Linked DNA regions of Nothobranchius furzeri. The protein of the gene in region 2 interacts with the protein of the main gene of each other region in a pairwise test. Links are inferred from orthologs where the notes say so. Each region holds a gene or a part of one and is shown on either strand. Other genes may lie near its edges.

What was found.
Region 1: the proteins of vps52 (region 2) and golga1 interact in binary tests that used the Homo sapiens proteins (3 or more experiments, as listed by UniProt). The two-hybrid records come from large-scale screens. The link is inferred for Nothobranchius furzeri from reciprocal best matches to the Homo sapiens genes VPS52 and GOLGA1.

Annotation. Positions count from the first base shown.
Region 1 is NC_091757.1:26,272,309-26,276,594, reverse strand, and holds the start of golga1 (golgin subfamily A member 1), read left to right. Parts: upstream 1-1,486; 5' UTR 1,487-1,644; intron 1,645-2,038; 5' UTR 2,039-2,195; coding exon 2,196-2,324; intron 2,325-4,286. UniProt on the Homo sapiens protein: Involved in vesicular trafficking at the Golgi apparatus level. Involved in endosome-to-Golgi trafficking. Mechanistically, captures transport vesicles arriving from endosomes via the protein TBC1D23.
Region 2 is NC_091759.1:11,210,160-11,213,659, reverse strand, and holds part of vps52 (vacuolar protein sorting-associated protein 52 homolog), read right to left. Parts: intron 2,613-3,500; coding exon 2,547-2,612; intron 2,315-2,546; coding exon 2,203-2,314; intron 885-2,202; coding exon 766-884; intron 1-765. UniProt on the Homo sapiens protein: Acts as a component of the GARP complex that is involved in retrograde transport from early and late endosomes to the trans-Golgi network (TGN).

The sequences.
Region 1 (4,286 bases), on a different chromosome or scaffold from region 2:
TTTATCTAGTTTGGACAGTGTTTTATAAACTTTAGACAGTAGTTTGGGGGGTTTGAGATTATAGAAGTCTAATATCCTTGATGGTGTATGTAATTCTACTTTATTGAGCTTAAAGTTTTTGTTTAACTACAGATTTAATTTGGTGGTATTCTAAAAAGTTATTCTTATCTATCCCATATTGGGAGACTATTCTGTTAAATGGGATAAATTCCAATCCTTCATATATGTGTTCCAGGTATAGGATTCCTTTATTTTTCCAGTCCGGAAGGTTCATCATTTTGTTATTTTGCAAAATAGCAGGATTATTACAGTGTCATCAGAGTTTACAGTGTTGGACCTATTGAAATTTAAAAAAAAACTTTTAAAATCCTAAAAAAAATCAGAGAAGTCTCTCTCTCTCTCTCTCTCTCTCTCTCTCTCTCTCTCTCTCTCTCTCTCTCTCTCTCTCTCTCTCTCTCTCTCTCTCTATATATATATATATATATATATATATATATATATATATATATAATTTTATTTTTTAAGTAAAGGCTGTAGTATGTAGAATAGCTAATAATTGACCAGCAGGAATGATTTTGTGTCAACAGAGTTTACAGTGTAGGAGCTATTGAAATATATTACTTTTAAAGAAATCACCCAACTCAGAGAAGTACAAAAATAAATAAAGAAAAGGTGCAGATTGTAGATAAGGTAATGTAATTAGGTGCCGTCCTTTTGGTGTCACTAACATTTTCAATGTAGGAAATATAGATAATTATAAGGTATAAAAAACAACAAGCAAACAAGTCATTTTTCTTCATCCAGTGATAATGTGGTGTGTGATGTTGGTGTCACTACATTTTAAAATGGAGCAGATAAATATCAAAGTTGACATCTTCGAAAATAAAATAAAAAACAAAAACATTATGTGTTACTGGAATAAAATAATCACTGTAATGTGAACAGCATGTGTGTAGTGTTAAATTTAATGAATTAGGGGACACTGCAGTGTACAGGGGTGGTGCTGATTCTGGTTAGTCTTTTTTCTGACTGTCCCTGAGCGCTCGCGACAGGTTCGGTCGTAGTCTCATAGAGCACACTTTAGCTCGTCGGGAGTTGAGCACGTTCATTTATTTTAATTTTAATACGAGGTTGTAGCTTGTTCACTACCTTGCCACGAGTCCAGAGAGGTATTTTATGTTTTGAAGTATTATTCTGTTCAGAAGGTGTTGAGCCGCAAAAGTCGAATCTGTGAATATCTTGCTAACTTTAGTTAGTGAGTTAGTAGAGTCCACTATGGATTTCTAGCATAAAAGTGGCTTCTTTGCGGACCTTCTGGACATCAGATCACCCTCAAAATACAATTAGTGATTTCTAACCCAGGTACAGCTAGAAACATTCTCTTTGTTGCTGTCGTTCCTTTTTCTGCCAGGAGGGGGCAGATGTTTCCACGTCTCTCAGGTCTCCTGCCCAATGAGCAGACGTTACGTCCTTACGTAATCGATCATCTGTGTTGAGTTGGTGACGTGTAGTTGTTAGCTTGGCAGACGGTACGGAATCATTGAGTTCTAATTCTCTACACCGACTCCAGACAACGAGCTTTTGAATGTGGACGGAACCGTTCAGTCTCCCATGAAGTTAGACGTTAACTGACTAACGTTCACGGTAAGGAGACGCCGAGTCCAGCGAAGCGAGCTAACGGCCGCTGACCTGACTCATTGTTATGACTACCAGAGCTAGCTAGCTGGTCAAACTGTTTTATCAGCTTTTATTTACCACTCGGTTAACAATCTTTAGCGGTCCTACTAATGAAAGTTATATGTGTCAGAAATGAGTTTTACACACATACATATATTTGTTTCTTCACATTGGATCAACGGTAGTTTCTGGGTTTGGAGGACATAAACACGTCTTTCTGCTGCTGGTGGTGCTGCTGGTGAGGAGACAACCAGGGGACCGACCTGCTCGGTCCAGCCGTTCAACGCGGAGCCGTACTGTTTACTGTGGGATAATTTATGGTAATGTTGTGAGCCTTTCTTTTGTTGTCTTCTTTTCCCAGATGTAGCAGAATGCAAACAACCAAACCGGACCCTCTGAAGACCCTTTACAGAACCGGACGGTTCTGCGTCAGTCCTCAGAATCTGGATCCGTGAGATCCATGCGTCACCTGCAGAATCTGCCCATTGCACCCAGAAAGACACGCTGAGACGAGCATCATGTTCGCCAAGTTAAAGAAGAAGATAGCAGAAGAGGCGGCCACGGCACCTCGGAGCGGCGTGAGGATCCCCAGGACCATCAGCAAGGAGTCCATCACCTCCGTAGGCGCAGACTCAGGGGATGACTTCGTAAGTGCTCTGATTTCACCCGACTGGGAACGCCTCATTACTGTGGAAAATAAAATCAGAGTATGAATGAGTAATCTGGGAGCAAAACCACGTTTTTAACATCTCTACATACAGTTAAATAATTGTGTTGTGAACCACGATAAACAAACCGATTAGAGACTGTTTCCAAGAAGAAAGACAACTTTTATTTACATCACAGCCAACTCTGAACAGGCTGTTGAATGCAGAGATCCTAAAGGGGAAAAAAAGCAATAAAAACACGACTATGCAAAAATAAGGTAAATAAAACCTGTTAAAGACACAAAAATCAGATTTTATATTTCATGCTGGTTTCAGAAGCCAACGCAGACGGGCTTTAAATATGATCTAAAATTGTTCCAGTGAGGATGTCTTTCTGATCATGCCGACTAACACTTTCACACCTTGGGACCTGTCCCCCCTGAGCTTACACACTGAGTCCTTGGTTCATCCAGGACTGGTCAGACAGCTGAGATGGGGAACGTGCATGCATAAATCAAAGAGGTAGCGCGGAGGAGGATTGTTTAAAATTGAAATACAAAATTGAAATACAGATAAAAGAAGCCTACAAGGATTTGTAACAGGCAGCCAGTGCAGTGAGGCCATAACAGAAGGGATGTGCTCTCTCCTCTTGCTGCCAGTTCAAAGCTCTGCAGCTGCAGTTTGCAGCAGTTGAAGCCAGGACGGAGATAACTGGATCCTTCTTTTGTATCGGACAACAAAGGAGTGGTGGTGGTTTGTTTAGGGAAAAGCAGAGCAACATACAGCAGTGGATGGGTTAAAGAGACGGCACCGTGGCACTGGGGTGTGGAGCTAAAGGATGCTACGAGACAGGGTCAGGTGTTGATGGCCAGATCTATTAGCGTTTTCTCCACGTCTGATGCTCCTTCTTTCATCATGGAAGAAGGAAGTGAAGCTTGTTAAACTCGCAGCCATTCTCCTTCTCTTCTTCTTCGTGTCTGGTTCGATGATTTCAGTACGGTGAGATCAGCAGTTGTAGTCTTCTACGTCTTTTCACACAAAACCTAAAATAACTTTTGCCACCTGTTGAGAATGAGCACTTTCTAGGCCTCAAATGTGTCTTTTGAATTCACCGGCATCATACGTGAAATCCACGGCACATATCCAGCTGATCAGAAACTAACTTTTATCAGCTCATTGACTCCCACCCATGGTCCACAAGTAGATGGGCGTGGCTTTCCTTTCTGGTTTTGTTGGTCTTTGTTTCAGCCTGCGACATCTGGGTCACAAGACGTTGCTGCTATTATTTTGTGGGCTAGGTGTTACCTTTAGTTCATGACTGAAGATGGTAAAATACTAAAGGGAATGAAAAACAGGCTAAATGAACCAGGCACCAGGGGGAAATTTGACTTGTGTCCCAGATTTGCCGAGGCAAACTGATGTGTGTCGTCTTGGATGTACCGTGTTTAATAATTTAGTGAGTAAGCTACGTGGGTCACATGTGACTGTCTTTATGGTTCCTGGTCCAGCAGCCTGTTCAGGTTGTTCAGGTCAAGACGGCCCGGCAGCAGGAGTAGGTGTGACTGACAGCTGTCTGGTTACTGTTGTGTTGTCTGTGAGGAAAGTTCCCCACATTAATTAGCCACCCAGCTGTAAAACAATAAACTTGATTTCCACTTTGATATTTTTACTCGCCGAGTCACTGACTCGGCTATCATTAAAACATGTGCTGGTCCCATCTTGTGCCTATAGTGCTGAAACACTGGAGGACACAGTAAGACCTTAAACTTGTCTACCTACTATCTGAATTTGGGATTTTCAATAGTTGTCAGTTATAATACAAGTCAATCATCAACGTTAAGAAAAGAAACATTTGAAAAATATCAGTCAGTCTGTGTGAAAAATGATTTTATTATACAAGTTTCACTTTTTGGATGGAATTCCTGAAATGTGGCCATCACCTGTATGTGTTCAGTTTTATTC
Region 2 (3,500 bases):
TCAATAAAAACACTGAGACACTCTGCTGTAAAGTCTCATTATGAAATAAATCAGCCATGGGAAAAAACACTACTGTGAAATAAAAGCTGTTTTTGTTAAAAAGACGTTATGTAATAAAAACTGAATGAATTAAATAAAAATGGCTCAATATTAATTTGGATTATTATGAAAAAATGACTTGAAAAAAACTTTATATTAATAAAGACATTTTAAAAGAAGAATGAAAAATATTTCAGAATATTGAGCTTAGATTTTACATAACATTCTGTTATTTCATCATTTCATTGTCAGATTACATGATTGTCTAGTATTTCTTCACGTGGATATTTATTTCATAATGTCTTATTTATTTATTGAATTTTGAATACTTTTGAGTTCCACAGGTGAGAGGGGTTTCTATTCTAATTTTCCTTTAGTGATGTCACAAACCGGGACTTTTGGAAACAACTCATTTTAAGCATTTAATTCCCTTTCCTTTTGCATTTTTCATGTGGTAGTGTTTACAGAGGCAGTAGGGATCTACAAGGCAGCACAAAGGAATGAAAATGTGTTTCTAGTTTTTCTTTACATCCTCTGCTCAAAGTGATTTTGGTAACATTAAAGTTTATTTGTAGGAAATGTTTCAGGTTTTCAGGATATGATTCATTCTCTGAGATGATTTACACCGACGCTCCCGTTGTCATTATTCTGGGCTGGGCTTAGTTGCGCCAAAGAAAGCGCACGTGTGTGTGTGTGTGTGTGTAACACACCTGCTGACTAACTCACCTGTATGATGCTGGTTCCATTTTTGAAGTTGGTGAAAGATCTCATGACCTCTTGGCTCATCGACTCCACTGATTGTTTCCAAGTGCTTGAAAAGCCCCGGATGAGCTGGGTGATGCGAGCTGCACACACACACACGCACGCACGCACGCACGCACACGCACGCACACACACACACACACACACACACACACACACACACACACACACACACACACACACACACACACACACACACACACACACACACACACACACACACACACACACAGCATGGTTAACATCATGGCTGTGTTTTTCTGTTTCCTGTATAGTTTCACTCATTTCCTTAGACAGAATGTAGGATGTGGTCATATGAAGTGATTGTTTTGTGGCTTCGGACGTTCGAAAGAGAAACGATCAGGAACAATAAAACGCTTAGACAGGAAGTAGCTTTTTCTCTGTAAATCTGAGGCCTAGTCCACACGTAGCCGGGTTTTTAAAAAAACGAATATCCGCCCCTCCAAAAACTTGCATCCACACCACCTTGTTTAAAAAAACTCTGTCCACACGTACCCGGATAAATACGTTGTTAAGGACATGCCAGACCTGTAGGCGGCAGTACTTCCCCCGTTCTTAACCTCGTCCTTCGTCTGTGGTCTTCCACAAGGAGCAGTAATTCCGCTTGCAAAAACAAACAAGCAAAAAGCGCTTGGACAATTGATAAAGCGAGCGCAGCTCTGAGGGCATCCATGATGTCGGCTAGTGTAAACACAGGTCGCACACGTGATGTCAGCATTGTTTTGTCGTGGAAAGTGACGTTGCGGACCTTAAAACTCCGGTTTTGTCTGTCCACACGCAGACACCCAAAACGGAGAAAACGCAGATCTTCACTTTGGAGTTTTTAAAAAGATCCGTTTTCGAGTGAAAAAACTCAGTTTTCGTGTGGATGACAGGCCAAAACGTAGAAACATATCTACGTTTTGGCAGCTCCCCGGCTACGTGTGGACAGGGCCTAAACTGAACGGTAAAAAGAAAGCAGCCTGTATAGACGTTCATGTGATGCTTCCTGGTGTTTCTGGATAAACTAAAACTCAAGGAGGCTCTTTGTACCTTCATTAAAAGCATTTCTGAGATTTTTACCCAGAAAATAAAGTCATTTACAGAATCAAATCAAAGATACTTTATTAATCCCAGAGGGAAATTAGAGTTTCAGTACACACAGTTCAGAAGAATTGGTGACTGTTGTCATTCAGAAGAAGAAAAACTCTGACCAGGACAGTTTGTTGACTTTAACCGTTTCCTTCTGACAGTTTCAGAGCTTTTATCAGTTAAACAAACCAAAAAACCCAACATGACATTGTGTGCTTCTACGTTGGTCACCTTTCACCAGAACCAGAGAACAGACGATACTGAAAACACCGAAGCCCTCTAGGCATTATCTGTTAGTTTCTCTCTCACCTTCCTCGTTCTTCAGCCGGTCCAGCTGTCCTTTCTCCATCAGCGCCTCGGCTTCCTTCACAAAGGCAATCATCCCCCCAAAGGGAGGAGACAAAATCTCCTCAATAAACTCCTGAAGGGACAAAATTCAGGAAAAACAGAGAAAAATGCTTTAGATGTCAGGTTTTTGTTTTGTTTCACATTATACGTCAAAATGTTAGAATGGCATCATTTTAGTATTTGGATTTAAAAGAGAAATGGGGAAAAAAGGAAAGAATGAAAATGAAACCATCTAATTCTTAATAAAAATACAGAATAAATGACATGAAAACGTTTTGAAATAAGGGAGGTTACGTGTTAGCTACCTGAGTTCTGGCCAGGAGCAGCTGCTGGAAGCTTTCCACTTCTTTACTGTCATCTGCTGCCCTCTCCTGGACAAAAAAGAAAAAGCATCTGCAGCAGTCAAAACTTGTGCAGAATTTACAGGTGCTGGCCAGTAAATTAGAATATCATCAAAAGGTTGAAAATATTTCAGTAATTCCATTCAAAACGTGAAACTTGTACATTATATTCATGCAATGCACACAGACCAATGTATTTCCGATGTTTATTACGTTTAATTTTGATATTTATAGGTGACAACCAATGAAAACATCAAATCTGGTATCTCAGAAAATTAGAATATTCTAAAGGCCAATGAAAAAATGTTTGTTTCTCTAATGTTGGCCAACTGAAAAGAATGAACATGAAAAGAATGTGCATGTATAGCACTCAATACTTAGTCGGGGCTCCTTTTGCCTCAATAACTGCAGTAATGCGGCGTGGCATGGACTCGATCAGTCTGTGGCACTGCTCAGGTGTTATGAGAGCCCAGGTTGCTCTGATAGTCGTCTTCAGCTCCTCTGCATTGTTGGGTCTAGCGTATTGCATCCTCCGCTTCACAATACCCCATAGATTTTCTATGGGGTTAAGGTCAGGCGAGTTTGCTGGCCAATCAAGGACAGGGATACCATGGTCCTTGAACCAGGTGCTGGTGGTTTTGGCACTGTGTGCAGGTGCCAAGTCCTGTTGAAAGGTGAAGTCTGCATCCCCATAAAGTTGGTCAGCAGCAGGAAGCATGAAGTGCTCTAAAACTTCCTGGTAGACGGCTGCATTGACCCTGGACCTCAGGAAACAGAGTGGGCCAACACCGGCAGATGACATGGCACCCCACACCATCACTGACGGTGGAAACTTTACACTGGACCTCATGCAACGTGGATTCTGTGCTTCTCCGCTCTTCCTCCAGACTCTGGGTCCTTGATTTCCAAAGGAAATGC